4 linked regions of the Struthio camelus genome follow. The protein of the gene in region 1 purifies or fractionates together with the protein of each later gene. This does not show direct contact. Links are inferred from orthologs where the notes say so. Each region holds a gene or a part of one and is shown in the gene's direction. Other genes may lie near its edges. The genes, in order: IQGAP1, MAP2K1, MYL6 and DIAPH1.

Evidence for each region.
Region 2: the proteins of IQGAP1 (region 1) and MAP2K1 purify together in Homo sapiens (affinity purification with western blotting; 3 studies listed by BioGRID, with this or other methods). This does not show direct contact. The link is inferred for Struthio camelus from reciprocal best matches to the Homo sapiens genes IQGAP1 and MAP2K1.
Region 3: the proteins of IQGAP1 (region 1) and MYL6 purify together in Homo sapiens (affinity purification with mass spectrometry; 4 studies listed by BioGRID and IntAct, counting the BioPlex papers as one, with this or other methods). This does not show direct contact. The link is inferred for Struthio camelus from reciprocal best matches to the Homo sapiens genes IQGAP1 and MYL6.
Region 4: the proteins of IQGAP1 (region 1) and DIAPH1 purify together in Homo sapiens (affinity purification with western blotting; 3 studies listed by BioGRID and IntAct, with this or other methods). This does not show direct contact. The link is inferred for Struthio camelus from reciprocal best matches to the Homo sapiens genes IQGAP1 and DIAPH1.

The regions. Positions count from the first base shown.
Region 1 is NC_090953.1:208,603-215,664, reverse strand, and holds the start of IQGAP1 (ras GTPase-activating-like protein IQGAP1), read left to right. Parts: upstream 1-4,061; 5' UTR 4,062-4,171; coding exon 4,172-4,229; intron 4,230-5,727; coding exon 5,728-5,827; intron 5,828-7,062. UniProt on the Homo sapiens protein: Plays a crucial role in regulating the dynamics and assembly of the actin cytoskeleton.
Region 2 is NC_090953.1:3,196,855-3,203,762, reverse strand, and holds the start of MAP2K1 (dual specificity mitogen-activated protein kinase kinase 1), read left to right. Parts: upstream 1-3,898; 5' UTR 3,899-4,171; intron 4,172-4,328; 5' UTR 4,329-4,404; coding exon 4,405-4,484; intron 4,485-6,908. UniProt on the Homo sapiens protein: Dual specificity protein kinase which acts as an essential component of the MAP kinase signal transduction pathway.
Region 3 is NC_090969.1:569,970-577,498, reverse strand, and holds the start of MYL6 (myosin light polypeptide 6), read left to right. Parts: upstream 1-4,521; 5' UTR 4,522-4,660; coding exon 4,661-4,663; intron 4,664-5,063; coding exon 5,064-5,091; intron 5,092-6,779; coding exon 6,780-6,923; intron 6,924-7,021; coding exon 7,022-7,195; intron 7,196-7,529. Other genes in the region: ESYT1 (extended synaptotagmin-1), read left to right, coding at 69-245, 365-447, 528-576, 655-744, 824-919, 1,009-1,080, 1,168-1,254, 1,333-1,479 and 6 more. UniProt on the Homo sapiens protein: Regulatory light chain of myosin. Does not bind calcium.
Region 4 is NC_090954.1:22,034,237-22,041,730, forward strand, and holds the start of DIAPH1 (protein diaphanous homolog 1), read left to right. Parts: upstream 1-4,494; coding exon 4,495-4,620; intron 4,621-7,494. UniProt on the Homo sapiens protein: Actin nucleation and elongation factor required for the assembly of F-actin structures, such as actin cables and stress fibers. Binds to the barbed end of the actin filament and slows down actin polymerization and depolymerization.

The DNA.
Region 1 (7,062 bases):
TGTGAAGTGAGGTCAGGATGCAAAAGCAAGTCTGGAAACAAATAGGATGGAGGAGACCCCATATCGTGAGCCAGACTCACCTGTCTTGCCTGGCTGGTCTGGCACTGCAGAAGCAAGTGGTATGGGGCTGGCCATGTCTTCCTCCCCCAAGTGGGCAGCCACTTCCTCTGCAGCTTTCCCAGAGCCTCTTGCAAAGTTCCCTGCCACAAGGATGGGAGGGCCAGGGCTGAGGGAGTGCAGTTTTGAAACAGCACTGCGTTTTTAGACCAGGGCAACAACTTGTCTCATTTGGCCACTACGTTTCTGATCTGGTGCAGCCACAGCCTGACATATGACCATATACAAAACAGTATCATCAGATATGTGAGGGGTAGGAGTCATAGAAATATTTTCAACTGACGCAATTGTGCCTGGATTCCTGCAGGCCAGTCTGGGCCCATTAACACGGAACATGTAGCTAAACTGGGTAATTAGAGAAGACAGCAAAAATGATTAGGGATCTAAACATTGTTACAGACCTAAATAAACCTATCCCGGACAAATGAGATCTAAAGGGAAAGGTCTCAATTGTCTATGAATACTTGAAGCGCAAAGAACAGTATTAAGGAATGACTGTTACGGATGAGACGAGTCAGGAGAATGAAGGATGTTGTGTAGAGCAGCAAAAGACATCTGTTCTCTCAGCTTTCTGAGGGGTTTGTGTGTCATAGCATAAGTCATGGCTTGGAATTCTTAGTGCTAAATGAGACCTAGAGCAGATCCTACTCCATCTTCAGCTTTTACTTTGGCAGAAATGAGGACATACATGAGAAATTCTTCAGTGGAACATTGTTTGAATATGCTATTATCTCCCAATCTTTTTTGGACTAAGAGACCATGTGGTTTTTTGGAAAGGCAGGCAGGATCGTTGTATATACTATAATGTTTGGAGGGGGATACAAGAGATGAGAGATTCCCTGTTTCAGTGGCAGCCTGCAGCTAGGTTATTTTGAAGCGACTGCAGAATGGCAGCTTCAGAGTCTTCAGGTAATCTGTGTTTTTTTCCCCCCAGCACCATTCACAGAAATAATCTTTCTCGATAAAGAAAGTGGCTAGTAAATACTTGCAAAGGAACAGATAACAGTAGTTTAAATAAAGGACTGAGTTTTGCAGCTCTCGTTTCCTCAGGGAAGCCTGGTGATTAGGCAGTCAAGGCCAAATAAAGAATAATTAAATTTTGTACAGAATTGATAACTAAAACGGTGAAACTAGAGAAAAATAGGTACCTCTGTAGTGCTTTGTGAAAGGCTATCTAGCTAGCGGCTATTCAACATTAAAAAAAAAAAAAGAAGACAAGAAACAGGAGAGGCAATAAATTAAACACAAAGATACACAAACCCTAACAAACAGCAGTTAGTAGAGACAGTAACAAAGACCAGAAATCTTAGAGACAATGATCGGTGGGGCCATTACAGGAGCGATTCAAGTATAACCTTGAAGAGGTTCAGCCAGAAACTTTGAAACTGCAAATGTGTGATAATCTTGTTTTATTCTTGTCAGAATGGGTCTTATAGACAAGACCAAGTTTATGATTTTTTTTTTCACTAGGATTATGGAGATGTGCAAAAATTATTCTGGGATTTTAGGGGAACAAAACCAGTTCTGCACTCCACAGTCTATATAGAAACATTGTTTAAAATGTCTTCTCGTTGTATAACTGCAGAGTGGCCACATATGAAGTAATATAAATAAATATTAATATTAGAATTATAACTGTTACCAAACATTTTGACTAAGAGCTGAGGGGTGTCATGGTCTTACAAAATTGTTGCCATCACTTATTATTATTACTATCATCATTATAGCCCATTACTTACATTCATTAGTGTCTCTTTCAACAATACTTAATGGGAAAATTTGTTCTTCCTCAGGATCACTGCCTGCATGTTTCTTCATAAAAAAAAACCCACCAACAACAAAAACTCCCAGCCTCACTGAATCAAATCACAGGCCTCTTTAGTCCAGGGTCCTGTGTCTGATATTGATCTGTTGAGAATACGGACAGATAGAGAGCACAAATAAGGCATGCGTGGAAAGAGGTCCCTTCTTACTCCGCCATCCAGTGACGTATGATCTTCCCAAGCTTTCATCTAGACCAGTTTGTTTAGTAGCCTTTGATGAACCTCTGTGCATTTGTCTAACTCCTTTTCTTCTGGTCTTCAAAATAATGTCATACTGATTTCTATAGTGTTATACTTTGTAAAAAGGCATTTCCTTTAGTTTGGATTAAAAGTGCTTTATGGTTAAATTTGGGATTAACGTGTGTTTTGTCAGAAGGAATGAAAACATGTTGCCTAGTCTCCTTCTCATGTTCTGTGCATCTCTTTCAAGCCCCTTTTCTCTCCTCACAGGTCTCTCTCAGTGTCCTAGCTAGTTATCCTCTTCTGACAGGAAAGCCCTTCTGTAGTTCTGATCCTCATTGTTGCCTTTCTCTGTACCTATTTTTGTTCGCCTATATTATTTTTTAAGGGGGGATGACCAAAAGTGAGGTATATTTCAAATTGGGCACATCTCTATTCAAGATAAGTGTCTCAGTCAGGATTCAGGATGCACTGGCTAAATGAAGTTTCCTGCTTTGTACTACTGCATTTCTTTCCTAATACTATGGAGTAAGGCTTGCAGAGAGAATGACTGTCTTTTAGGAGACCAACTGATATAAGTGGTCAGGCAAGTCATTTCACCTCATGAATATCCTTAAACTATCTTAGCTGCAAGATACTACTATTCATAATTTCCAAAATTCTCTTTGCCTTTGGACCATTGCTCAGCACTGAGCTGAAGTTTTCAGCTCCAGGATCTCCCACCTGAGCTGTAATGGGTAAATTAGAACCTGTCGTTGTATATGCGTGTTAGTATTGTTTTTCCGATGTTCACTGTGTTGCGTTAACATTGATTTGTATCTGTTGTTTTAAGGACAAATTAATATTGTGAGATACCACATATTCTCCATCTCTGTGAGCTGTTGGTCAGTCACGTACTTCAGCAGGTCCACCAGCGCCAACAGACCGAATCTGGCTTGGCTGGAGAGGGAACGCTTCCTCCCGCTGCTTTACCTCCTCGCACTGCAAACCCGCCCTCGGCGGCGAGAGGAACTTGCAAACGGTTCCTTGCCGTTCAGTCTTCCCTCTCCCCCACAGTCCTATTCCCAGCCGCCCCCCTCCCTCCCTTCCTTTACTGAGCCATATAGTCCATTTTGAAGCTGATTAGGAATGATCTTTCATGAAGAAGTCCTCCCACGAGTCTCCAAAATCCAACTACCATTAACAGTTCCATTTATATCAGTATACGGGAGCACACTTTTTCTAACACAGAGCACAAACTTTCTAACATCAGACCTGTCTCCTTTTTTGCTGTTTTTCTACAGCGCCCAGCCCTGCGAAGCTCCAGTGCTGATGCCTGTGGGCAGCGCCGGGGGGGGGGGAGCGGGGCTGGGGGGCCGGGGGGTGGCGCCCCGCGCGTGGGCAGCGCCGGGGGGAGCAAGGCTGGGGGGGGGCGGCGCCCCGCGCGTGGGCAGCGCCGGGGGGGAGCAAGGCTGGGGGGGGGGCGGCGCCCCGCGCGTGGGCAGCGCCGGGGGGGAGCAAGGCTGGGGGGGGGCGGCGCCCCGCGCGTGGGCAGCGCCGGGGGGGAGCAAGGCTGGGGGGGGGCGGCGCCCCGCGCGTGGGCAGCGCCGGGGGGGGAGCAAGGCTGGGGGGGGCGGCGCCCCGCGCGTGGGCAGCGCCGGGGGGGAGCAAGGCTGGGGGGGGCGGCGCCCCGCGCGTGGGCAGCGCCGGGGGGGAGCGGGGCGGGCGGCGGCGCCCCGCGCGTGGGCAGCGGGACGGGGGGAGGGCGGCGCGCCGCGTCCGCCGGGCTGAGGGCAGCGGGACGGGGCCGAGCCGGGCGCCGGGTCCGGTCGGCCGCGGCGGGGACGCTGCCCGGGCGGCGCCCCAGACCGCGGCGCGGCGCGGCGCGGGGGGGTCGTGGCAGGGCAGCGCCTCGCTGCGGCCGCGGCGGAGGCGGCCGGGGCGCGGCCGGGGCGGGGGGAGCGGGGGGCGAGCGCGGAGCGGCGGCGGCGGCTCCTCCTCCGCCACACCCGGAGCGGCAGGAAGAGGAACCGCCGCGCCCGCAGCAGCTCCGGGCGGCCCAGCGCAGCGCCATGGCGGCGGCGGCGGAGGAGGTGGACGGGCTGGCCGTGTCCCGGCCCCACTACGGCTGTGAGTACCGAGAGGCGGCCGGGCTCGGCCGAGCCGGGCGGCCGCCGAGGAGCATCCTGCCTGGCGACGCCCCGCTCGTCCCCGCGCGGGGGCCGGGACGCCGCGGGCCCGGAGGGAGCGGCGGGGCCTCGTCCGCGGGCGACGCTGGGGCGCGGCGGGCGGCGCTGACCCCGGCTGCGGCGCCCCCGCCTGGCGGGGGGCGGCCGGGCCTCGCCCAAGATGTCCGCCGCGGTGGGCGCGGCGCGGCGGCCGGCCGGGGCCCTGCCCTGCCCTGCCCTGCCCTGCCCTGCCCTGCTCTTCCCGGCCTCACCGCCGGTTGCGGCGAAGGCACCCGGGCGCGTTGGAATTACGCTTTGGGGACGGAGGCTTTAGTTTAAGCCCCCGTTGGAGTTTTGTGCTACGCGTCAGAGTTTGTGCTGCGCTATCACGTCAAAAGTCAGTGAGGGCGGAGAAGTTGCAGCGCTGCGGTGAGGGGCGGCGGCGGCAGGGCCCGCCGGAAGCGCTGGCCGCCCCGCGCTGCTCGAGAAGGCAGCGCTGAGGCGGGGGCCGGGAGGGGAGAGGAATTCTCCCTGCTGGTAGCTGTTATCGTGGGATTTGTGACAGCTTTCAGCCCTTGTAACTTTGGGAGAGGCTGAAGCAGTAAGAGGCTTTTGGCATGCCCTGGACCGGTTCTCTAGGAGACCCGTGGCAGTCTGAAGCAAAATTTTGTTTGAGACCCAATACTGCAGTTGATACCTTGTCGTTACACTTATTTGATGAAGGCATTTTAGGTGTGAGCTAACCTTTGATTAACAGTAGTAAGAGACGTTTCCTATTCGTCAAACTACTCCTTGAAACCGAAGAACGTGCATTTTTTCCCCATAAGAGCATGGATGAGGTGTTTAGTTGTAAGAGTGGAAAGGACAGGCTGTATCACTGCGGCTTTGAACACAGTCTGAAAGATTTAGGCATACACCCCTCAATAGGTCCTCAGATCAATCCAAACATGATGCACAGGTTGTGGATCTGAACGCTTCCTCTCCAGGTGAGGATTATGAGTAGCATTGCCCTCTCTTTTAGAGATTGAGTATAACTATATAAAAGGGATTTTATGGTGTGATGATATATCGCTGTCCTCCTTTAATCTTTGATTACCAAAATCAGAAGGTAGGTGGAGAGACATGGTCACTGATGCACTTTTTAGGAAGAGAAAGGTAAAGCTAGAAGGAAATAAGAAGAGAAAGGGCTGTTTATAGGAAATTGGAAGATGCAAAAAATTGGATCAGAAGCAAATGGAGAAATCCAAAAGAAGGAAAATGACATTTATTTGGCAAGGGAGGAAGGGTAAGGAAATGGGATAGCTTCAGCTTTACTTTCTGTTCTGTTGTTTATTTGGTTCTTCGTTTTCTGAATCAAATAAAAGTGAGCTCCTGTGGGAAAGGTTGGATCTGGTTTTTGGTTTGTCTGTTCATTTGCATTCAATCCTCAAGAACCTGAGAATCTGTTTGACTGTTCGCAGCTGTCCTGGATAATGAGAGGTTAACAGCGGAGGAGATGGATGAAAGACGGCGCCAGAACGTGGCTTATGAATATCTTTGCCATCTGGAGGAAGCCAAGAGGTAAGAATAAGTGGGCTTGAAACTGCTGGTGTATTAAAAAGAGTTGTGATACTTGTTAAGTGGAATAATTTCATAGCAATTATTCTTGACTGTGTTTCTGAGCAGCTATATAGATTCATTTAAAAAAAAAAAAAAAAAGCCTACGAGGGCCTTTAGCGGCTACCTCTAGTCTATTTTTCTGCCTGACAGGGGCAAATGCAACTTTGTCTAGCTCGTTCCTGATGTGCTTATATAATATGTTCTTAAGGACTTCTGTGACAGGGACTCCATAGCTACGCCTTCAGCAATTGTTCCAGTGCTTCCGTATTCTTAACACTGGAAGGATCCTCCCTGCTATCCCACCTGTGTATGTCTTGCTGCGGTATTACGCCATTACTTATCAACAGAAACGGAGAACAGGTTATTCTCTTCACTGCAGCCTTTTACAAATCTGAATTGTTACAAAGTATTTCCTTGCTCTTTTCTCTTAGACTAAAAAAACCCAATTCTTTCATATGAGTTTCCCTGTGGGTCCTATTTAATAGATGAGGTCATTACTCCTGGATTGTCTTGACATCTCTCCACTTAATCCATGTCTTTCTGGAAGTGCACTGCCAAAACAGGAAGAAGTTTTCCAACTGGGGCATTAACATGCTGATGAGAGCATAAGGATTATTTCGTGTATCCTGCTAGGTATGCTGTTGTTCATGCGTTCCAGCATGGTATCTCGGTTTTCATAATGGCATGATGTGGTAGAGTTTTGCTGACTTGCCATCCTTTTCCTTGAAGGCATGCTGATGAAGTCTGTTCCCCATCCTATGTTTGTGCAGCCAATTACATTTTCCTAAGTGTTATTACCTTTTAATTGACCCTGTTGAATATTATTCTGTTTTTTCATGACCTTTTTGTTTAATGTGTTGAAATAATTTTGAATGTATTCCTGTCTTCCAGCATACATGTAGCCCCCTCCTTCTTCTGCGTTATCTCCACGTTTATAAAGTGTGAAAGCATGCTGTATTTCTTCATTCAGACAATTAATGAAAATACACTGTGAACATGAGGTGTGTGGGGGTAGATACCTGTATCTGCTATGTCAAGAGAAGGGAACTATTAAAAATGAATGTGTAAATTCTTATTGTTGCTAGTTTTAAATCTTTTGCAAACAAGTGATCTTACATGCTATAAGTGAAGAATAGGAGTGAAACAGATTAGTTTGTCTAATGTTTTCCTCCATGACAGTCATCTCTTCTCATGAC
Region 2 (6,908 bases), about 3.0 Mb from region 1:
ATTGTGTTAGGCTTCTTAAATTCCATTGCTTATGGGACTAATTGTTTCCCTGAATTGCTCTGTTAAGCACTAAATAGATTAAGAAGTAATAAATCTTGCAAATAAAATTTTGTGTGTGTATGTCTCGGCAGTAAAATATACAGCTTTATGTGGCAATCAGGTTTTAAAAACTGGGCTAATTTAGGACTGCAATTAAGGTATGCAGTAATCAAGTTCGTGAGGAAAGGAATAATTCATACTGAAATAAGTGTTTTATTCCTGACTGCTGACTGGTAGGTGAGGGGAACTTAACAGATATTTTAGCTACTTTATAGGTTCTGTATTTTTATATACTATATATCTGCTTCACAGATTCAGTATCAGCCTCCTGCAAGTTATCTCCCCTTATTATATGGATTATTGAGTCTCCAAATCTTTAGTATTCTTTTCTTTCTCATACAAGAAACTAGCCAAAATTCAGTTTTTTTAGGTTAGTCTCATGAGAGAAAAAAGTGGTAATGGAGACAAACTTCTTTGATGCAGTTCTATTTACAGGGACATATATTACAGTTCTGTTTTTTTTCAAGAAGTAGTTGAATCAATAAATCAGAAAGTCTCCCTGCTTGGAAGTCTTTCTTACGGATTACACTGCCTCGCTTATATTTTTTTGTTCATCTTCTCCTGCGTGAGCCATATTCAGAGACACCTGTCTGTAAGAAAAACCCACATCCCACCGGCTTTACAATTGCTTTGTTTTAGGTGAGGAAATGTGCTTTATTTTCAGTTGCAAATATACTGAAGTTAAATCTGTTTGTTTTAGAGAAGTTCCAACCAACCTACAACATTCTTGAAACATTTCAAATATACTGTATAATCACGCAAAATAAAATAGATCATTTAGGAAATAATAGTATGCCTATACTGATCAGTAAGATCGTCCGTTCTTACTAACAAACAAAAAAAATCCCCAAAGCGTCTTAGGTCTCATTGAACAAAGCCTAGAGGCCATCCAGCCCTTTTTTTAAGGCTTGGTCCCCCTAAAAGTTCCAAGAGTACGATAGCGCCTGAGGAACTAGGTGATGGCAGCAGCAATTATATTGAAATGGTTCTTGAGGTGGCATCAGTCTGTACACATATGATTATATTTCTGTATTCAGACAATCAAAATACCTTTGTCTTGCAGTAGGTTAAATGGACTCTAAAACAGGTAAGTGAATTCAGACCGCAGTGTTGTTTGCAGTGCAAGTATAAAGTACACCGCAGGAGGGAGCTATCTCTTAACGTTACCTGGCATTTAATAGACGGGGGAGTGTGTGTATGAAGGGCAGAGCTGTGAAAATAAAATAATTTAGTCTTTTTTACTTTAGAAATGGGTGAGATGCTAGGAATAATAGAGCATTTTGCACAATATATAGGGCATTTTTCCCATAATAAATTTCAATTTCCATAAAAGCATTAATGACTGCTTTGACCAAAAGTATAATCATTATTTTACATTTGCAAATCACAGAAAATTGAAACAGAATTCATAGTAGTTCTTCATACAAATTACTTAAAAAATAAGTTATGTGATGGAATTTACTCTGCACTTTTACTGTCAGCTGAAATAATGTATGTGATACACACACATTTCTTGCTGTATTTCAAAAAAGTCTGCATACTGAAACCTCTGTTGTCGGTAAACATGTCCAGACATTCACCTGTTTATGTAGGCTTTTTAGTATATAGTCTAACCTGATAGGAAAAAAAAAAAACAATGTTAGAAGGAGAAAAATGATTCAAAGCTTATGGGGAAAAATTACAGCTCATAACTAAAATTCTTGTTTGTTCAACCCGGACCTTTAAAAGAAAATAATATCTTCCTTGCAATAATCTGCTCCGAGAAAGAGGACATACTTTACAACCTATTAGAATAACTAGAGTTGCATAACTCATGTGAACAACTGCAATATAGTGCAACTACAATTATACAAGGCATTTGTCATAATTGTACATTCTCTGAGACTCGCATATTCTCTGCAAAGGAGTTCAGTGTGTCAGACAAAGGAGTCCATGCATTTCTCCACACGCAGTTGGGTAAAGGGGAAAACAACCTCAGCTGCAACTCAATTTCTTCTGTAGTAAAAACATTTTTTTCCCTTTTTTTTATCACAGAGAGACTTGATACTTAGACTTCACAAGCTACTGTAAATAACTGCAGGCATCCTTGCATGTGTTGCTATCACAAACACTGTTGCAGCATTACAGTTCTTTCAGCTGAGCAGTCAACTGTCATAGAACAGATTCAGTTAAAAACTAGATCTTAAAAAAAAATGTACTCATGCCGGATTAATATCACAGGAAAGTAACAAAATACAGCCTCTAGTTGTATAGCGCTCCTCGACATGGAAGAGCAAAAGGATGTACGAGGTGTAAAGTCTCTTAAGCTCATCTATAACTTACTCTCCCTCTGGAACCTTTTGGATAGGGAAAGAGTTGTTGCCTGGTTGTTTCTCCCAATTTAGCTAGGTGTCCGGACCTATAGGACGGGATGCATTTGGTAATAAAAATTCAGATTACTTCCCAGCTGGAATCAGTGAACTAGGTCATTCTGTGTGGAAACGCTCAGGAAAATTAAAGCAAGTCAGTGTTAAAGCAAGGCAGTATTAACTACCTTAAATCCCAATATGGAGGCTCTTTTTCAGCAGTAAGGTGGCTTTAGTTCTCTGGAATTTTACCCTCACAATTTTGTTGATGTATTTTTTCTTGCATTAACCCATATATAACAATGTACTGTTCTTTCCATGGGGTGGGGTCTCTGCCCTTCTTTTTATGAGTTCAGGATGCCTATGTTTAACCCTAAAATTATTAAAGGAGGCAGTGGGTTCATAAAGTACAATCCCAGTGTACAGCATTTTTTTTATAACATCATACTTTCTCAGCCCCACATTTTTGTTTTTCTTTATCAATATATGATAGAGAGCTACTTGAAAATAGCATTCTCTGGGTTATATCTTTAGGTTCACTAAAATAACGTAATTACGAAGCACCAGAGAATCTCAGGATCAAACGGTTAGGAAAGTCAGAACTTCATAGAAACGTACACGTACTTAAAGCCACCATCACATGAATATGTGAAATATATTTGGACTTACAATGTTGTAATTACCTAACATGTGACGGACCCTCCCTTCAACTAGGGATTGATTACCTCTTCTTCAAATGATATCCAAATCTGGTCATTCTTAGTAGTGAAAGCAGCGTTGTAACAAAAGCAGTTTTTGCATTTCATTTTCAAACTCATTTTACTATTTATAATTGTTTTCCAACTGTAATCCTCAGTTTTCATTTTTACTTCAGGCATTTACTATGGGAAAAATTTAGCAGCCATTATTACCCCCACTGAGGTTTCTGTTTTAATTATAAACGCAGTAGTTACCAAATATGGGTACAGTAATGACTGCGCACGAGGGAGAGAAACAAACCGTTCCATAAAACACTGCTTTAACCATGTGGCTTTGTCTACAGAGCAAATGATGTCGCTAGTTGGGAACAGCCTACGTTAATTAATCGCTGTGAGCATTCTCGAAATAAAACTTCCATAAAAAGTCAGAGAACGTGTTAACCGGGGATTACGCGGCCGCCGGAGGTCCCAGGCGCCGAAAGCGTCCAGGTGCGGCCGCTCCGCCGCCGGCGCAGAGCCCGCGCCGGGCTCCCGCCGCTTCCCCTCTGCCCGCAGAGCGGCCTAGCAGCTTCAGAGCCCGTCGCCGCAAGCGTCTGGGGAGAGAAAAAGAAAGTTTAAAAAAAAAAAAAAAAGCCTATCTCAGGTGAGCGGGATGCGGGGAGCAGGCTGCGCGCCCGCCCGAGCGGAGGCGGGAGCTGAGCGGGAACGCCCAGAGCGCCGAGCCGCGGGGGCAGCCCGGGCGCTCAGCCCCGCGGCGGGGCGGCAGGGGCGCGGCCGGAGGACGGCGCCCCGGAACGGGCACCCCGAGGAGAGATGTCCCCCCGCCCCGCTGCCTCCCGCGGGACCGGCAGCTGAGGGCAAAGCGTAGTGAGGGCAAACCATCGGCGTGGCTTCCCGTCCGCAGTGCGCACGCGCCTGGCGCCGCGCCTGCGCGCTGGGCGGGCCCGCGCGGCCAGCGCCTGCGCAGGAGCAAGGAAGGGCACATTTTGAGACCGGGTAGTCCTGCCCGTCGGGAGCCGCTGGGAGAAGGTTCGGTGCCGCGGAGTCCGGGCCCGGAGCGGGGCTGGGCTGGGTGGGAGGGAGGGTCCGCGCGGCGCGGCGCGCCGGGGCCTGACGGCGGCGGCACAGCGCAACGCCGCGGCGTCGGCGGCGGCTGCCCGCAGCCGCTAAGTTTGCCCCGCCGCAGGAAGTCCCCTGGAGCCGGTCGAAGTGGGGACAGCGCTTCTCCGTGGGTTACGCTCTGCGGTCTCCCGGGCTGAAAAATGCCGAAGAAGAAGCCAGGGCCCATCCAGCTCAACCCGGCGCCGGATGGCTCCGCCGTCAACGGGACCAGCTCGGCAGAGTGAGTGGAGAGTGTGTGTGTGTGTGTGTGTGTGGGGGGGGGTGACTCTTCCTCCGGCGGCGCCCTGAGGTGGCGGCGCCCTGAGGTGGCGGCGCCCTGAGGTGGCGGCGCCCTGAGGTGGCGGCGCCCTGAGGTGGCGGCGCGCGGGGCCGCAGCCGCGCCCTCGGGCCCGGCGCTGAGGGGCCCCGGCGGGGCCGGCTGCGCCGCCCCTCCGGCTGCCCGGCCTCCGCGGCGCCCTTTCGCCCGGCGCGGCCCGTTTTCCGGGGAAATGCGAGTTATTCCTTCCCGCGGTCCGCGCCCCCTTCGCCTTAGCGGCCCGAGAGTTCTCTCAGGAAAATAACTGGACGGTGCTCTCGGCCGTAAATCCACTGCTGTCAGACGTGCCGGGTAAACAAGCTGGAAAAGGGAGAGAAAACCGGTGTAACTTTCTTCTTGTAGGCATCTCAATAAACGTCTGTAATTACAGTGAAGTTATAATTTTCATGTGGCCACAGAAATCGGGTATAGGAGTATATATCTGTGAAGCTCACGCTAATATTTGTTAAATTGAAATTGTTAGATTTCATTACTATAATAGTTCGCTAATGGCAAATTTTACCTTTCCAATAGCACATTTTGTAAATGTGTATGTGGGAAGAAATTATACTGAAAATCACTTAAGTTGTAGAAAAGGGTTTTTTTTTTGTTATTGCCTTTTGCTTTAAACCAAAATAACACTAATATCAGAAAACTTTTGATTTTTTCAGTAATTAACCTGTAATGATAAGTAGTTTGACAAATATGTTTGTAGAAACTGCTTTTGAGCTTTCCTGAGTATAATAAAAACATTACACTAATGTCAGGAGGGTGGGTCTGAACTAATCATTGATATACTTGGGGGGAAAAAAGTGAACGTTATATTGTTACATACTGCTTATGAGATGAGCTTCGTGTTGAGTGGATGTGGACGAGCAAGGTGGGTTGTTTTACATGTTGCACTGTAGGGTAATGAAGTGTTGTAAAAGAAGCTTGCTAGAGGTTAACAGGTCTGTGTTCACTACTTAATTTGTAGATTGAGGTGTTGGGCTAGCACTATGAACTGAGGTTTGGAAAAGAAAAGTGTACTGGGAGAAGAGATTCCTGCCCTGGCATGGTCAGTTCACTCTTCTTCCTCCTTGGATACAGAAACTGAGCTCTGAGATGCTTGTGTACCGCTGTGTCATGAACAGAGCTGCGCTGAGATGTGTAAGTCTCAGACTTTAAAGCATTGCGCTGCTATTGTTGCTGTCAGATTTTCAGATAAGTTCAGTTCTCATTTAACTGCTTTGATATAATATCTCTGAAAATATTCAGTATCTAACATCTCCATCTGTGACATTTCTAGCAAACTATTTTGATGATTAAATGAAAGGTGAGCTCTTTAAGAATTATCTTTAGGCAGAGATTGCTTATTGTATCTAAGGATTTTGATCTAAATATTATGTGATCTTTGTTCTGGATGGTAGGGGGAAAAATGTTTTTATATTAGCTTATATAGCCTGTTCCAGTTGACTTTCTTCAAGGTAATTGTAGATTCCTTGATTTAGTTTTCAGAGGTCCCTAGGGTATTTTAGTAGCCTGATCTTATAGAATAAATCTGTTATACCTATCACTTGTTTTTTCTGGTACCTAAAATTAATTGCCAGCCGTCCAATATATTAAACGTAGTATTTCTTCAGTACTTTTCTATTCAAGAAATGTCCTTAATTTTAAATTTTTTTATGCATGTCTGATACTCTATTACTTGTTGAAAGTTTATGGAGGCTCATGGGGTTATTAAATCTTATTTACACCAAATAACTCTCTTGCTTCCTTTTTGCACTTTGTACATTAATTTATTTGACATACGTATCTCCTAGGTTTTTACTCTTTGTCATATATTAGAGCTCATACTTGGCTTTTGACAGTCTTAGGTGGTAGGTGTTTGGGTTTGTGTGTATGGGGGGGTGGGTGTCTGGGTTTTTTGTTTTCTAAGAAGCAGCTTCACGAAAAAGTAAATCCAGCAGCTTGTTGCCCCATAAGTAGCTAGAATTAATTAATTATGAAAATATCCGTTCATCCTGCAAATATTAAATCCTTATTGTGAAACACTAAATAACAAAGAATAGTTGAATAAGAATTTGGAAATTGCCTGGGAATGAAATGGAAAACAGTGGCTGCTTGCCTTCATCTATGAGCTTGATTCTCTCTCCTCCTTTCTCTCTCTCCCTCCTACTGTTGGTCAGTGCTTGAAATCAATGGTGGAGGTGTCTGTCCATTTTTGTATACGTATACCTTGTCAAGTGTTTGAAGTACGTTAGCATTTGTAGACTAAATATTAACTTTTCTTTTAAGCTTAGTTCCTGGTTTCATGGAATTTTGGCTATGTGGATCTCCAGTTACTCATTTGCTTGCACCATATACAAA
Region 3 (7,529 bases), on another chromosome or scaffold:
GCCCAGAGCTGCCCCCAGCTCTGTCCCCCTGCAGCCCGGTCCCACACATCCGTCCCCCCCCCCCCCAGAACGTGCTCCGGATCCATCTCCTGGAGGCCGAGAACCTGGTGGCCAAGGACAACTTCCTCAAGGGCATGGTGCGGGGCAAGTCGGACCCCTACGCCAAGGTGCGGGTGGCCGGGAAGGCTTTCCGCAGCCGCGTCGTCAAGGAGGAGCTCAACCCCCGCTGGAACGAGGTCTACGAGGTGCGGGATGGGGGGCCGGCCGGGAGGGGAAACTGAGGCAGGGTTGGGCTGGGGCGGGGGGGGGACCCAGGCGTCCGGGCGCCGCCTCCGCCTTCCCAGCGACGGCTCTCCCTCGCCAGGTGATCGTGGACGACGTCCCGGGGCAGGACGTGGAGTTCGACCTCTTTGACAAGGACATCGACAAGGACGACTTCCTGGGCCGGTGGGTGCCGGGGTTTGGGGGGGGGGGGGGCGATGCCGCGTCCCCCCAACCCGGCCGGCCCTCACCGCCCCCCTCCGCAGGTGCAAGGTGCCGCTGCGCCGGGTGCTGAGCAGCCGCTTGGTGGACGAGGTAGGAGAGGGGCCGGGACGGGGGGGGCCGCGGTGGGCGCCCCCGGGGGGGGTCTCACCCGCCGTCTCGTCCCGCCAGTGGCTGCCGCTGGAGGAGGTGAAGTCCGGCCGCCTCCACGTGCGGCTGGAGACCTTGGTGCCGTGCCCCAGCGCCGCCCTCCTGGAGCAGGTAACGGCTCGGCCACACGCGCCACGAGCTGGCCGGGTCTCAGCCGGCCTCGGCCCCTGCCCACCCGCCGCTCCCCCAGGTCCTGCGCGCCAACAGCCTCATCCAGCCCGCCCGGGGCGAGGAGCTCTCGGCCGCCCTGCTCTCCGTCTTCGTGGACCGAGCCGCCGACCTCCCGGTGAGCGGGGGCCCGGACGCCTGGGTCCCCTTGTCCCCGCGCCCCGGGGGGCGCCGCTCACCCCCTGCCCGCCGTGTCGCCGTCCCCAGGTCCTCAAGGGCGCCAAGCCGCCCGCCGCCTACGCCAGCCTCGCCGTGCGCGACGTCTGCGCCAAGACCAAGGTGAGCGCCGGCCCGGGGGTCCTGCCGGGGTGGGGGGGGGGGGAGAGGGTGTTTCTCACCCTCTCTCCTGCCCCCTCCCCTCCCCAGACTTGCACCCCCAGCTCCGACCCGGTGTGGGACGAAGGCTTCTCCTTCCTCATCAAGCGGCCCCACGCGGAGTCGCTGGAGCTGCAGGTATCGGGGTCCGTCCCCGGCGGTCCCGGGGGTCCCGGCGCTCCCGGGGGTCCCTGAGCTCGCCCCTGTTGCCCCCAGGTGAAGGACGAGGGGGGGCAGCCCCTGGGCGCCCTCAGCCTGCCCCTGCCCCAGCTCCTGGCCTCCGAGGCGCTCGCCCTGGACGGCTGGTTCCCGCTGGCCGGGGGGGGTCCCGGCGCGCAGGTCCTGCTGCGGGCGCAGCTGGCGGTGAGTCTCAGCGCCGGGGGGGGGATGCACAGCACGACGGGGCCGGGACCCCCCCTCACCCCGCTGCTCGGCCTCCCCCCCCCGCCCCAGATCCTGGCGTCGCAGCGGTTGGGGGCGGCAGCCGGCGGCGGGGGGGAGCCCGAGCCCCAGGACGCGGAGCCGCGGCGGGAGGAGGAGAGCGGGGCCGGGGGGCTGCTGCGCCAGCGCCTGGCCCCCGCCGACAGGTAGGGCTGCGCCCCCCCCCCCCCCCAAAATCTGCAGCTTGGCCAAGGGGGTCCCGGCGTGGTGCCTGCATCGGGGTGGGGGTCTGGGTGCAAAGCCCTGGCTGGGAAGGGGGCTGCAGATGCAAAGCCTGGCTGCGCAGGGGGGTCCGGGTGCAGCCGGGGGTGGGGGTCCGGGAGCCGTGACCCCCCCCCCCCGACCCGGCCGGGGCTGACGGTGGGCTTGGCAGCCGCGCGGAGCCGGCGGAGCCCCCCCTGGGCCGGCTGCAGCTCACGCTCTGGTACCACGCGGACGAGCGGAAGCTGGTGGCCGTGGTGCACGCCTGCAGGTAACGGAGGGGGCGCCCGGACACCTGGGTCCGCCACAGGGGGGGGGCGGCGGCGGGGGGCTCGGCACCCCTGGGGGGCTCCATCCCGCGCCCTCTCCCCGCTGCAGGCAGCTGAAGCCGGTCTCCAAGGACCTGCCCGACCCCTACGTCTCCCTCGTCCTCCTGCCCGACAAGAGCCGGGCCACCAAGAGGAAGACCAGCGTGCAGAAGAAGACCTTGAACCCCGACTTCAATGAGAGGTTTTGGGGGGGGTGGGGGGGGTGCAGCCCTGCCCAGTGCATCCCAGCACCTCCCAGCGCCTCCCAGCACAGCCCGGTCTCCGCAGGTTCGAGTGGGACGTGTCGCTGGAGGAGGCGGCGCGGCGCAAGCTGGAGGCTCATGTCAAGTCCGCGGCGTCCTTCATGGCGCGGGAGAAGGAGGCGCTGGGGAAGGTAGGGCGGGGGGCCGGGGGGCGGCGGGGGGCCCCCGCGGGACCCCTCCCTCCCTCCCTCCTGAGCCCTCGCTCTCCCCCAGCTCCATCTGGACCTGGCGCAGGTGGACTTGGCCGAGGGGGGGGCCCACTGGTGAGTGGGGCTGGGCAGGGGGGGGAGCTGCCCTGGGGCTGGGACCCATGCAGGGGGTCCTGCCCCCAGGGATGGGGGGGGGTCCTGCTGCCCCCGGGAATGGGTATCTGCAGCAAGGGATGGGGGGGGTCCTGCCCCCAGGGATGAGGGGGGTCCTGCCCCTGGGAATGGGTATCTGCAGCAAGGGATTGGGGAGGGGGGTCCTGCCCCCAGGGATGAGGGGGGGTCCTGCCCCCGGGAATGGGATATCTGCAGCAAGGGATTGGGGGGGGGGGTCCTGCCCCCAGGGATGGGGGGGGTCCTGCCCCCGGGAATGGGATATCTGCAGCAAGGGATGGGGGGGGGGTCCTGCCCCCAGGGATGAGGGGGGTCCTGCCCCCGGGAATGGGGTATCTGCAGCAAGGGATGGGGGGGGGGGTCCTGCCCCCAGGGATGGGGGGGGTCCTGCCCCCGGGAATGGGGTATCTGCCCCCAGAGATGGGGAGGGTCTGTCCCTAGGGAGTGGGCTATCTGCCTTTAGGGAATGGGGGGCTCTCTTCCCCCATGCCGGGGGTCCGTGCCCTGGGGCTGGGGGTCCATCCTGGGGCTTGGGGGGGGGGGACAGGCGAGGGGCCGCGCTCACCCCACTCTCCCTAGGTACGAGCTGCGGGACGAGCGCAGCAGCCCCTAGCGCCGCCACCGCCGTCTGCCTTGCACTGACCAAAGACCGGGGGGGCCGGGGGGCCGGACGGGGCGCCGGCCCCGGCCCCCCCACCGCCGCCCCCCCCGCTGCTGCTGCTGCTTTCGACTGTTATATTTATGTCGTGCCTTTTCGCCCCCGTTTCCGTCGAGGGCGAAACCTGCCCCCCGCCGCGGGGAGACGCTTGTGTTGGAGCCACCGCCGTGCCACCGCCGCGCACGTCCCCCTCGCTGCCTTCCGGGGGGCCGCGGCCCCCGTGTCCCCCCACCCCGTCCCCCTGCAAATAAAGGAGGGAGGAGAGAGCCCCGGCCTCTGTGTGGTCCCTGGGGGGCTTGCGGGGGGGGGCGGTGTCCCCTATTGGGGTGCCATCAGCGGGGTGTCCTCCTGGGGGTCCCCCTGGATGGTGCTGTCATTAGGATGTCTTCCATGGGGTGCCATCAATGCGGTGTCCCCTGCTGAGTTACCCCCTACGGGGACACTGTCATTGGCATGTCCATGCAGGGTCCCCTATGGGCTGCTGTCATTGGGATGTCCTCCATGGGGTGCCATCAAGGAGGTGTCCCCTGTTGGGTTGTCCTCTACGGGCTGTCGCCCATGGTGTGCTGTCTTTGGGCCATTCCCTGTTGGTTTGCTCCCTGTTGGGGTTTCCTATTGGGTGGTCCCCTGTGAGGTGTCACCGGTGGTGTGTCTCCATTGTGGTTCCCCCATTGGGGTGTCCCCCATGGGCTGTCCTCCATGAGGTGCTATCAATGAGGTGACCCCTGTTGGGTTGTCCCCTACGGGGATACTGTCATTGGCATGTCCTCCATGCCAAAGGAGGCTGTGGGCTGCTGTCATTGGGATGTCCCCCACTGGGGTGTCCTCCATGGGGTGCCATCAAGGAGGTGTCCCCTGTTGGGTTGTCCCCTATAGGATGTCACCTCTGAGGTGTCCCCTGTTGGGGTGTCACCGGTGGGGTGTCCCCCATGGGCTGTCCTCCATGGGGTGCCATCAAGGGGGTGTCCCCCCCCCCGTTGACGTCTCCTAGTGAGTCATCTGTTGGGGTGTCCCCCACGCGGGTGTCGTCACGGGGGTGGCACCGTAGGGCTCCCCCAGGCTGCGTCCCCTATCGGGTGCCCCCACTGGGGTGTCGCGCGTGGGGTGTCCCCAGCGCCCCCCCCCCCCGGCTCTGCTCCGTGCCCATCTATAGGCAAAAAATCCCCCCCGGGAGCAGGGGCGGGGTCTCAACTCGCCCCGCCCCTCATGCATGCATAATGAGCGCCTCATTAGCGTGCGATGACGCACTCGGCGCGCGGCCAATGGGAGGGCGGTGACGTCGGGCGGTAGAAAGGGCTGGTGCCGCCGGGAAGCGGCTCCCAGTGCCCGGAGCGGAGCGGGAGCGGCGCCGCCATGGTGGGGGCCGGGGCGGTGCACGGGGGGGGCACCGGGAACCGGGGGCGATGCACGGGGAGGGGGGCCGGGGCGGTGCATAGGGGAACCGGGGGCGATGCACGGGGGGGACATAGAGGGTAATGCACGGGGGAACCGAGTGCAATTGGCGGGGGGGGACACCGGGAAGCGAGTGCAATGCCCGAGGGGGGGGGTGGGAACCGGAGCTGGATGCAACGTGGGGCGAAGGCCCAGGGCGCAGTGGGCGGGGGGGTACCGGGACGCACCGGGCCTGGGGGCAGTGCGGGGGGAAGGGGGGGCCGGGGGCGATGCACGGCGGGGAGCGGGGCGGCGGGGCCGGTTCGCGGCGCTGGCGCCCGACGGCGCGGCCCGGTGCGGGCTGACGGCCGCGCTCTCCCCGCAGTGCGACTTCACGGAGGAGCAGACGGCCGGTGAGTGCCGGGGGGGGGGCGGGGGGGTGTTTGGGCCCGGCAGCTCGGGCGTTTCCCGGTGCGCAGCGCCGCCCGGTACCGGGGGGGGGGGGGGGGGACGGCGGCGGCGCCGGGCCCCGGTTGCGCCATTTGCCCTTATATGGGCATAACGCGGGGCCGGGCCGCGCATTCCTGCCGGGTGGGGCCGCCCGGACGCCTGGGTCCCTGGCGCAGGGGAGGGGGCGGCCCGGGCATCGGTGCGCTTCCTGCACGGGCAGCATCCCGCCCGGACGCCTGGGTCCCTGGCGCAGGGGAGGGGGCGGCCCGGGCATCGGTGCGCTTCCTGCACGGGCAGCATCCCGCCCGGACGCCTGGGTCCCCTCCCCGGAGGGGAGGGGTGAGAGCCCGGAGCAGGGCGGGAGGCGGCCCGGACGCCTGGGCCCTCTTCCTGCTCGGGCAGCTCTAGCCCAGCGGGAGGGGGGAACGGGGGCGGCGGGGGCTCGGACGCCTGGGCCCTCCGGGGCGAGGCGGCTCCGTGACCCGGTTCCCGCCGGGTGTCGGGTTCCTCCCGGGAAACCGGATCCCGCTCGGAAACGAAACCCGAGGCGGGAGCTGGCGGCTGCCCAGGGAGGCAGCGCCGGGTCCCGTGGGGTGCGGGGTCCCGTGGGGCGTCGGGTACGACATGTGGGGTCCCACAGAGAGTGAGGTGCAGGGTCCCGTAGGGTGCATGGAGCAATGGGGTGCAGGGTACAACATACAGGGTACCATGGGATGCAGGGCACAACATGAAGGGTCCTATGGGCCGTAAGACCCCACGGAGTCCTGTGGGGTGCGAGGTGCGTAGTGCAGTGGGGTGCAGGGTCCTGTGGGGTGCAGGGCACAACATGAAGGGTCCTATGGGCCGTAAGACCCCACGGAGTCCTGTGGGGTGCGAGGTGCGTAGTGCAGTGGGGTGCAGGGTCCTGTGGGTGCAGGGCACAATATGAAGGGTCCTGTGGGGTGCAGGGCCCTATGGCCTGTAAGACCCCACGGAGTCCTGCGAGGTGCGTAGTGCAGTGGGGTGCAGGGTCCTGTGGGGTGCAGGGCACAACATGAAGGGTCCTATGGGCTGTAAGACCCCACGGAGTCCTGTGGGGTGCGAGGTGCGTAGTGCAGTGGGGTGCAGGGTCCTGTGGGGTGCAGGGCACAACATGAAGGGTCCTATGGGCTGTAAGACCCCACGGAGTCCTGTGGGGTGCGAGGTGCGTAGTGCAGTGGGGTGCAGGGTCCTGTGGGGTGCAGGGCACAACATGAAGGGTCCCGTGGGGTGCAGGGCCCTATGGGCTGTAAGACCCCATGGAGTCCTGTGGGGTGCGAGGTGCGTAGTGCAGTGGGGTGCAGGGTCCTGTGGGGTGCAGGGCACAACATGAAGGGTCCCGTGGGGTGCAGGGCCCTATGGGCTGTAAGACCCCATGGAGTCCTGTGGGGTGCGAGGTGCGTAGTGCAGTGGGGTGCAGGGTCCTGTGGGGTGCAGGGCACAACATGAAGGGTCCTATGGGCCGTAAGACCCCACGGAGTCCTGCGGGGTGCAAGGTGCGTAGTGCAGTGGGGTGCAGGGCACAGCGTGCGGGCGCCCCTGGGACGCGAGGTCCCGCAGGTGGGGTGGAGGCTCCTGGCGGTGCCGTGGGTCCGGTGGGTGCCCGGCCCCGCTGACGCCGACGGCCCCGCAGATTTCAAGGAGGCGTTCCAGCTCTTCGACCGCACGGGTGACGGGAAGATCCTGTACAGCCAGTGCGGCGACGTGATGCGGGCGCTGGGCCAGAACCCCACCAACGCCGAGGTCATGAAGGTGCTGGGGAACCCCAAGAGCGATGGTGAGCGGGGGGGACCCCTTCGCAGACAGGCCCCGGGCCACGGCGCGGCGGCCCCCAGCCCGTCCTCACCGCCTGTGTCCCTGCCCCTTCCCGGCCAGAGATGCACCTGAAGACCCTGAACTTCGAGCAGTTCCTGCCCATGATGCAGACCATCGCCAAGAACAAGGACCAGGGCTGCTTCGAGGACTACGTGGAGGGGCTGCGGGTCTTTGACAAGGAGGGCAACGGCACCGTCATGGGGGCTGAGATCCGCCACGTCCTCGTCACCCTGGGTGAGTGTCGTGACTTGCTGGAGTGCTGCTGGCCCCGGGACCCCCCTGGCCAGCCCTGGGGATGCCCCGAACCTGGGCAACCCTTCTGCCGGTCCCCAGGACCTGGTGAGCTCCAAGCCAGCTTGGAGGCCCCCTGAATCTCCCCAAGCCCCTGGCTGGCCCTGGGAGGCCCCTGAGCTCCTGTGAGCCTCTGGCCAGCCTTTGGGGTACTCCAAACTCTGGTGATCCCCCAGCTGGTCCTGGGGACCCCCTGAACTCCTGGCTGGCCCCAGGGACCTCCCAAACCCCCCTGAGCCCCCAGCTGGCTCCAAGGACCTCCTGGTCAGCCTTGGAG
Region 4 (7,494 bases), on another chromosome or scaffold:
GTTTTGTGCATACCTAGATGGACAGTGCAACTTGCCATGAAGTACTGTGAATACTGAAAGCTTCTGTGGGTTCAGAAAGGGACTAGGAAAAAAAATAAAAAGGACCAAGGTTGTTAAATTCAAAGACACTTCTAAGCACAAATTTTTGGACACTGGATGTATGTTCTGTAAAGTATTGCTATGCGCTTACCCTAAGGCTTGGTTAATCATATTTGTGTTCCTTATGTGCTTTAGCTGACATGCTGTACTTTGCATATCAGAAGACTCAAAATGCCAGTACAATGGCCAGAGTTTTGAAAAACAAAGACTGGAATCTGAACAGAAAATAACTTTTTTTTTTTTTAAATTCCAGTTCCTGTTTCATCTGATATCATCAGAGAGCTAGCTTGTTTCATCTGATGGTGTCATCAGTTGTATCAAAGCTGATTTACAGGAATGCAGTCTCTCACCTCTGGTAGTAGTCAATATTTGCTTCTTCAAAAGAAGAGGGAAATCCTCCCCTTGTAGCTCCATCTCTTACTGATGAAGACTGTAAACTTCGCAAAAACTCCACAGCCAGTTCTTAGTCAAAATTACCTGTCCTGTTTGCATTGAGGTACCTCTGTTACTTTTAAGAAGCAACAAATTCTGGGGCTTTCAGTTGTATTGCTCTTCCTCCTGCACTTTGATTCGCACATCTCTTTCTATCCCATAATAAGCCCTCCCCTGGCAGCCTTTTTAGGCTCCATTCCTCCCACAGTAGAGAAACGTAAGTGCTTTCTTTCCTCCTTGTGATATGGTATGCATCACTTGTACAGCCTGTGCTATTCAAACTTTCCCTCTTCAGAATCCTTGTCTGTTCTGGGTTTTGAAATAAGGCTGCAAATTCAGAGGATTGTCTTTATCTGGGTTTCTGATGGGTTTTCTTGGAAACGGCTGTGAAACAAATTCAGGCTGTAGAGATTTTTCCTCCCAGTTGTATTTTCCCACTGCAACGGAGCTGTCAGAAATGAGAAACTGAACTAAAATTGCCATCTGATACTGCAGGACTACTCAAGCTGCATTAGACCAAAGGTTCATGTAGACCAGTGTCTTGTCTCTGGCATCACCCAGTAATAGATGCCTACTGAAGTGGATAGGAACAAGACAAGTGTGAAATCCACAGTAGTAATATACTAGATAAGGTGGCAAACTTGCACATCTTGAATGTGGGGTCATGATATGTATCTAACACAAAATTGACTGGTAGGCTGCTTTATAAAGTACAGGATAGTCTGGTACCAACTGAAATTAAATTAAGCCAGATTTATTTATCTTTAGGAAATGTGTGAGAACCAACACTTGCACAAATAGATAAAACAGCTGCAGTTTATAACGTACACAGTGAGCGTCAACTGACTGCATTTAGTTGCTGTTATCGATGGGCAACAGAGATCACAGAAGGGTGAAAAAAATTCAGTCACAAAGTTCCTAGAGAGTACTTTTGTCCTCTCTTGCTGTATTTTCTTTCCTATATTTTAGCAGGAAAAAAGCTCCCTTTGTATTTTTGAATTCAGTTGTTCAAAATAGAGGTAGGGATGATGTGAATGTCTCTGTGATTGAGGTGGAAGCCCTTGATCTGGGAGGTTTCCTAAAGGTGACAGAGTTGTGGCTCCGTCTGACAGTTCCCCCCAGAGCTTGACCCTCCTTGGCCAAGGATGTGTTGTTACAGGCCAGCCTCATGCTTTGTTCAGATTTTGCAGTCTGCAGTCGTCCCAGAGGAACACAGCTCTGATGTGGGCTGATAAGCTGAAATGTGGACTTCTCATAGAGCCGTAACCGGGCTCACTAATTGCTTTGAAAATGAAGACCAAAAGCCTTAAATGACTCTTCCAAAAATGACTGGGAGCCAACAGAGTAACTGGAGCAGGTGCTTAATGCTTATGGCAGCCAAAAAGAGAGGGAAGACAAGGTGGCCTGTCCTGAACTACTAGCAGCTGCCCCTTGGACACAGCGAATGATGTAATTTAACCTGGAGGCCGCAACCACGTCACTAGCTCCCCATTTGGAAGCAAGGTAAGTCAGTGGAGCTCCATAAGTGAACTGGCAGCAAAAGGAAGAGTGCTTAGTCATGAGCAGCATATAGCGACTGTAAGGCTGGAGCCCGGAACATGGGCGCACCTCCGGGACTAGGAGCAGCTTGGCTTTAGTTGCAGAGGATGCCTTAACTATCCCTTCAAAACATTTTCTGGCCAATATCAGAGTGGTCCTGCCTGGTATGAATCTGGGAAAATGGGTGTTGGGCACTAGAAGTGTCCCCCCTCCTCTCGGAGAGGAGACAGGACTGTGTTTTGTTGAGCACATTCTGTGATTTCACGGGCAAATGGAACAGAAGCAAACAAGCATTTTCTGGTCATTAAAAGGAGAAAATTCAGGCCTATTTGATGAATGCACTTTTGAATAGCTGCTTGTTTCAGGCTTGCCTGCTGTGCATCAAATATTGACTATGACCTAAGCAGGAAAGATGTGTGTTGAGAGACTGAATTATCAGAATAATGCCCACGCGGGTGCAGCTATGCTGCCCTACAGGGTGACTTGCAAACCTTTTGATGGGAACAGGATGTAATGCTGGGTGCCAAAAAAAGGTGCGACTGATTTTGCCACTGCATTGTAGCTCAGTTCTATTTAATAGAAACTTAGATGAAGGGGTCAGAAGAATTCATTTGGCTCTGAAGAGTGAATATATTCAGAGATGTTCCTGTCCTTGGTGAGTAACTCTGCTTTATTTCTATTTTAGTATTTGCACAGATCATGTTGCGGGAGAGAAAGGCTAGCTAGAAATGAATGCATGTGGTTGTTACTCCAAGGATGGGATCAAGCTCCCACTGCAGTAGCAGTGTTTTAGAAAAATTTCATGCATAATCCTAGCTGGTGGTTTGTGAGGCTTCTGCAACTGTGCTTATATACTCAGGTTCAACTCCTCCTGCGAGGGACATGTGCGCTGACTCCTGGGGGCTGGACACACAGCATGGCTAGTTTGGGTACCCAGAACAAGCAGTTATTTTGGCTTTGTAGGGATAGGCGCTTAGGGCTGGAAGAATCCAACCTGAAGCAGAAGCACCCTTTTTATCCTGAGCCTGGCACCCTTTGAAATATCCTGTGCCTGCTTGTTTGAAAAAGAAACAACCCGAGGCCCACATGGATGGAGCAAGCCTCCAGAAGGTAATGAAAAAAAGGTTGGGAGAAATACTATGCTTTGGTGACAGAAAAACAATAGATAAGAAAAAGCCCAAAGGGCTTTGCTTGCAGAAGCTGAACTTGGATCACTGGCCTTTAGAGAAGGGTTGTGGCGTGAACCACATGGCACCCTCAAAAGGACCCTCAAAGCACTCGAGTGGGATGCTCCAGGCACACTCGGATAGCACGTGTGTGAACAAACAGTCTGGCTGTCCTGCCCGGTGCTGTCTGCGGTCCCACGTAAGGTGAAGCAACCGTTGCTGTGCGTGATGGGGCTGACTCCACTCTGAGCAAGTCCAGTGGTGCCCGAAGTACTGTGACGCAGAAAGCTATCACGTCAACTCTGTTCTTCGGCAACGAGGTGCCACACAAAAAATTGGCTTGCAAAGAAGCCTAGATTGGCAGTACTCGCCACTTAGATGCTTACCTGTTAATTAATTTGGCTCAATGGCGATAGAAGCTGCTGAATTGCTGTAGCATCCAGCTGAAAATAAGACTGGAACATGTGCCAGGCCTCCCGTATCCAAGCGGGTTCACTGAAGGAAGGAAGGTGGAAGGGCCTCAGAGGAGGATCCTCTGCAGCGTGCCACCACGGATGCCTCACGCACAGCACCGAGGAAGCCACGCTGCTGCTCAGTCTGCTGTACCAGGTTATTTTTCAGGTATATTAAGTTCTAGTTACGTTTTCGGAGGGGGTGTGTTGGTGACCCCTGGCTTGCTGGCGTACCTGGAGTTCTGTGGCGGAGCAGGAGCTCCCGGGAAGAGGTACGCTTCAGCCCTCGCCGCAGTTAGGGACGCGTTTCTGCTCCAAACAGGACCGCGTATATTGGTGGGGCTGGAGCTAGCATGTCTTAATTCTTAAGGACACGGGTGTGGGTTTTTTTCCAAAGCCTCCTTAGCAGGAAAACGGGGCCCGATGACAAAACGTTGGCAACCTCCCGCAGGTCCCCCAGCGAGCCGAAACCGGCCCCAGAGGACTGAATGAAAGAGCAGGTGCCGCCACAGCGGCGTAGGGCAAGAACCCCCCAAGGCGGCGCGCCGCCTCCCTGCTTCGGAGCTGCCCGAGCGCCAGCGGCGCCGGGAGAGCGTTTCGCGGCGGCGGCGGCCGGGCGCCGCCAGGGGGCGCGCGGCGGCGGCGGCAGGAAGTGGGCGGGGCCGGAGCGGAAGCGGAAGCGGGCTCATGAATATTCATGCGGCTAATGAGATGCTGCATGCGGGATGAGGCGGGCGGGGCCGGGCCGGGCGCGGCCGGGGCGGTTGGGCAGCGCGGGCTCGGCGGCCTGAGGAGCCGGCGGCGGCATGGAGGGCGGCGGGGGGGCGGCCCGCGGCGGCGGCCGCGACAAGAAGCGGGGCAAGGCCCCGGCGCCCGAGGAGGCGGCGGCGGCGGCGGCGGGGCCCGGCGACCCCAGCAAGTCCAAGAAATTCGTGAGTGGCGGCGCGGGAGCGGGGGGGGGGGCTGCGGCGCCGCCGCCCGCACCTGCCGCAGGTGCCGGGCCCGGGCGGCCGCGGTCACCGCGGGGCGGCGGGGGGGGCCGGGGCCGCCCGCAGCGAGGAAACCCCGGCCAAAGCCGCTCCGCTGCCGGCCGGCCGGCGGGCGGCAACTTTCCTGTGGCAGCCTGCCCGGTGGAAGCGGACCGGTTTTCTCTTGCTGACGGGTTTGTTCCCCCCCGAGGAAGGGGGGGGGGGGCGGGCTCCCCCCGCCGCTGCCCGCGCCTCGCTGGCGGTCTGGGTCTGCCCGGGGGGGGGGGGGTCCGTGGCGGGCGCGACGGCGGCGGGGCCGCCGGGGCCCCCCCGCTTCGCGCTGAGCGTCGCTCGTTTTCACGGCAACGGGTCCCCCCCCCCTCCCTCCCCCCCCCGCCGGCCTTGGTGATGCTCAAAAGGCGCCTGAACGCGGTGTCCCGCCCGCCGCTGTGGCGGACCCCGCGGGAGCGGGGCGCTGGGCTGGGTGGCGGCCAGAGGTCCCTCGCCGCCGCCGTCGCCCCGCTGCCGCAGCCGTTTCTGCCGTCCGGCTTTCCGCCTGCGCTGAACTTTCTGCAAGCGCGCAGGGCGCTGCCGAGCGCTGCGCTGCCCGCGCTCGCCGCGCTGCGGGAGTTATTCTGCGGTGATGTGCACTTAAGTGATTAATCAGTTGCGCTGACTGTATGCAGCGGCTTTGAAGATGTTATCAGGAACTGGCTGAAACTGGAGACAACTAGGGGTTTTTGCTGGTTGGGAAGTTTGGCGGGGGAGGGGGGTCACCTGTATTGGCACTCTGGAAACAACTACAAGTCTCGACGCTAAGCGAAAGATCGGTGCATCCCTTTCCGTCTCTTCTGACTGCTGCATGACTTACGGAGTGTTTACACTCTGCTTTTCTTCCGTATCAGTTCATGGACTGCTTCTGCTCCTATTAAATGCAGTAGGAGCTGAATTCAGTAGCGGTTTAGCAAAATATCTGCTATAACAATGGGAGGTGAAAATGCAGTAATCCTGTTGTTCAGAGTTTGAAATAGTATTGGGTTCCTCTTGGCATCAGCAGGGTACATGCATGTCTTCCCCTCACCTTTCCTGTTGGCATACCACTGGACTCTGGGTTAGGTACTTTCTCCTCTCTTTGTTGCAGTCTGGATATATGCTTGTGTACTGACGCGTTTGCAGGATGTAGCTTGCCGAAAGGAAACATGTTCTCCTTTGGGAATCACAGAATGGCCAAGGCTGGAAGGGACCTCTGGAGATCATCGAGTCCAACCCCCTGCTCAAGCAGGGTCCTCTAGAGCACGTCGTGCAGGATCACGTCCAAGCAGGTTTTGAATATCTCCAGGGAAGGAGACGCCACAACCTCTCTGGGCAACCTGTGCCAGTGCTCTGTCACCCTCACAGTCAAGAAGTTTTTCCTCAGATTCAGATGGAACTTCCTGTTTCGGTTTGTGGCTGTTGCCTCAACGTAGAAGTAGAAAGGAGATCTGAAAACTGAGATTAACCTTCTTTTTTGTTTGTACTCTTTTTTTTTTTTTAACGCAAGTTCATTGTCATAGATAAAACGACACTTTTTTGCTATTCATAAGGATATGTTGTGTCCATATGGGTCATCTATTAGATTACACAGCAGGGAGCTATTTTTGTTCCTTTATTATTACTGTGCACATAAATATGTTTACTATTTTGTGTTATTTATGGTAGTTTGAGTTCGGTAGTTTAAATCTGATTATATAGCCTCGTAGTAGTGTTTCAGATGGTCTTAACTAAAACAACAAAAAACATACTGATTATACTGGTTGGATATATGATTTTCATGAATGTATTAAGTAAGGAGGTATGAACTGGAATTAGGTGACAGGTGGATTCTTGTCTTCTCACTACAAGGCAGGTTTTCGAAGTTCGTAGGTACTTAAAGAGGCTAAAAGGTGCCCACTGGAATTTTGGCAAGTTAAACACCTTTGAAAACCTGGCCTTACTGCTTTTGATTTCAGAATGAAGAGAGTTCAGTTTCTGTAGTAAGTTTTTTATTTGTAAAAATTTCAGAAGACAAATTCAGTTTCCTGGCTTCCAGTGACCTGCTCCAAATTCAGAAGCTAATCTTTTATATCTGCTGGCTAAGCAGAAATCCAGAGTAATTAACGCACAAGACTTTTTCCATGTGCTGGGAAACAGAGTACCTCTAGCTAGGAAGTACAACAATAGCAACACTTGCTCCGAGACTGAAAATAGCATAAGCACCTAATATGGTAGATGACATTGTGACATATTTATGAAGCTTGCTTTAGCCTCAAAAGTTAGCTATTCCTTCATCTTCACCTCTCTCCTACTGCACAGTTTTGCATATGAACTCTGTCTTCTGCAGCATAACATTTTGGCCGCTGATTGCTATAAATATGATGCAATCAATTGTCATTGGTATTTTATTTGCAAACTTAATGCTCTCTAATTTGCTCTAAGTGTGCAAATCATCATGTCTCTTTATTAGATTACAGTTTGCTGCTGCTTCTCCTGGAGTTGACAGTGCATTCAGGCTTTTAAGCAAGTCTTGCTGCTGCCGCCGCCTTCCCAACTTCCAAACCTCGACCCACCCTTCCTGTCCTAGTGACTAATATACTTGTGCGCTACTTGGTCACTTCCCAATCTCTTCACTGCAGCAGCCTCCTCCTTGGTTCTTCTGTTACTTCATTCTATCCAAAATGCAACTCCTGTGTTTGTCCCCCGTCGTAAGGGAACAATGGAGGTTATAAAAAGTCCACCTATGCTGTTGGTTTACATCAGTTGCAGCTTCCTGAGAAACACCTGTGTGATATTAGAAAGCAGTGAAAGTAATTCTCTTCAGAA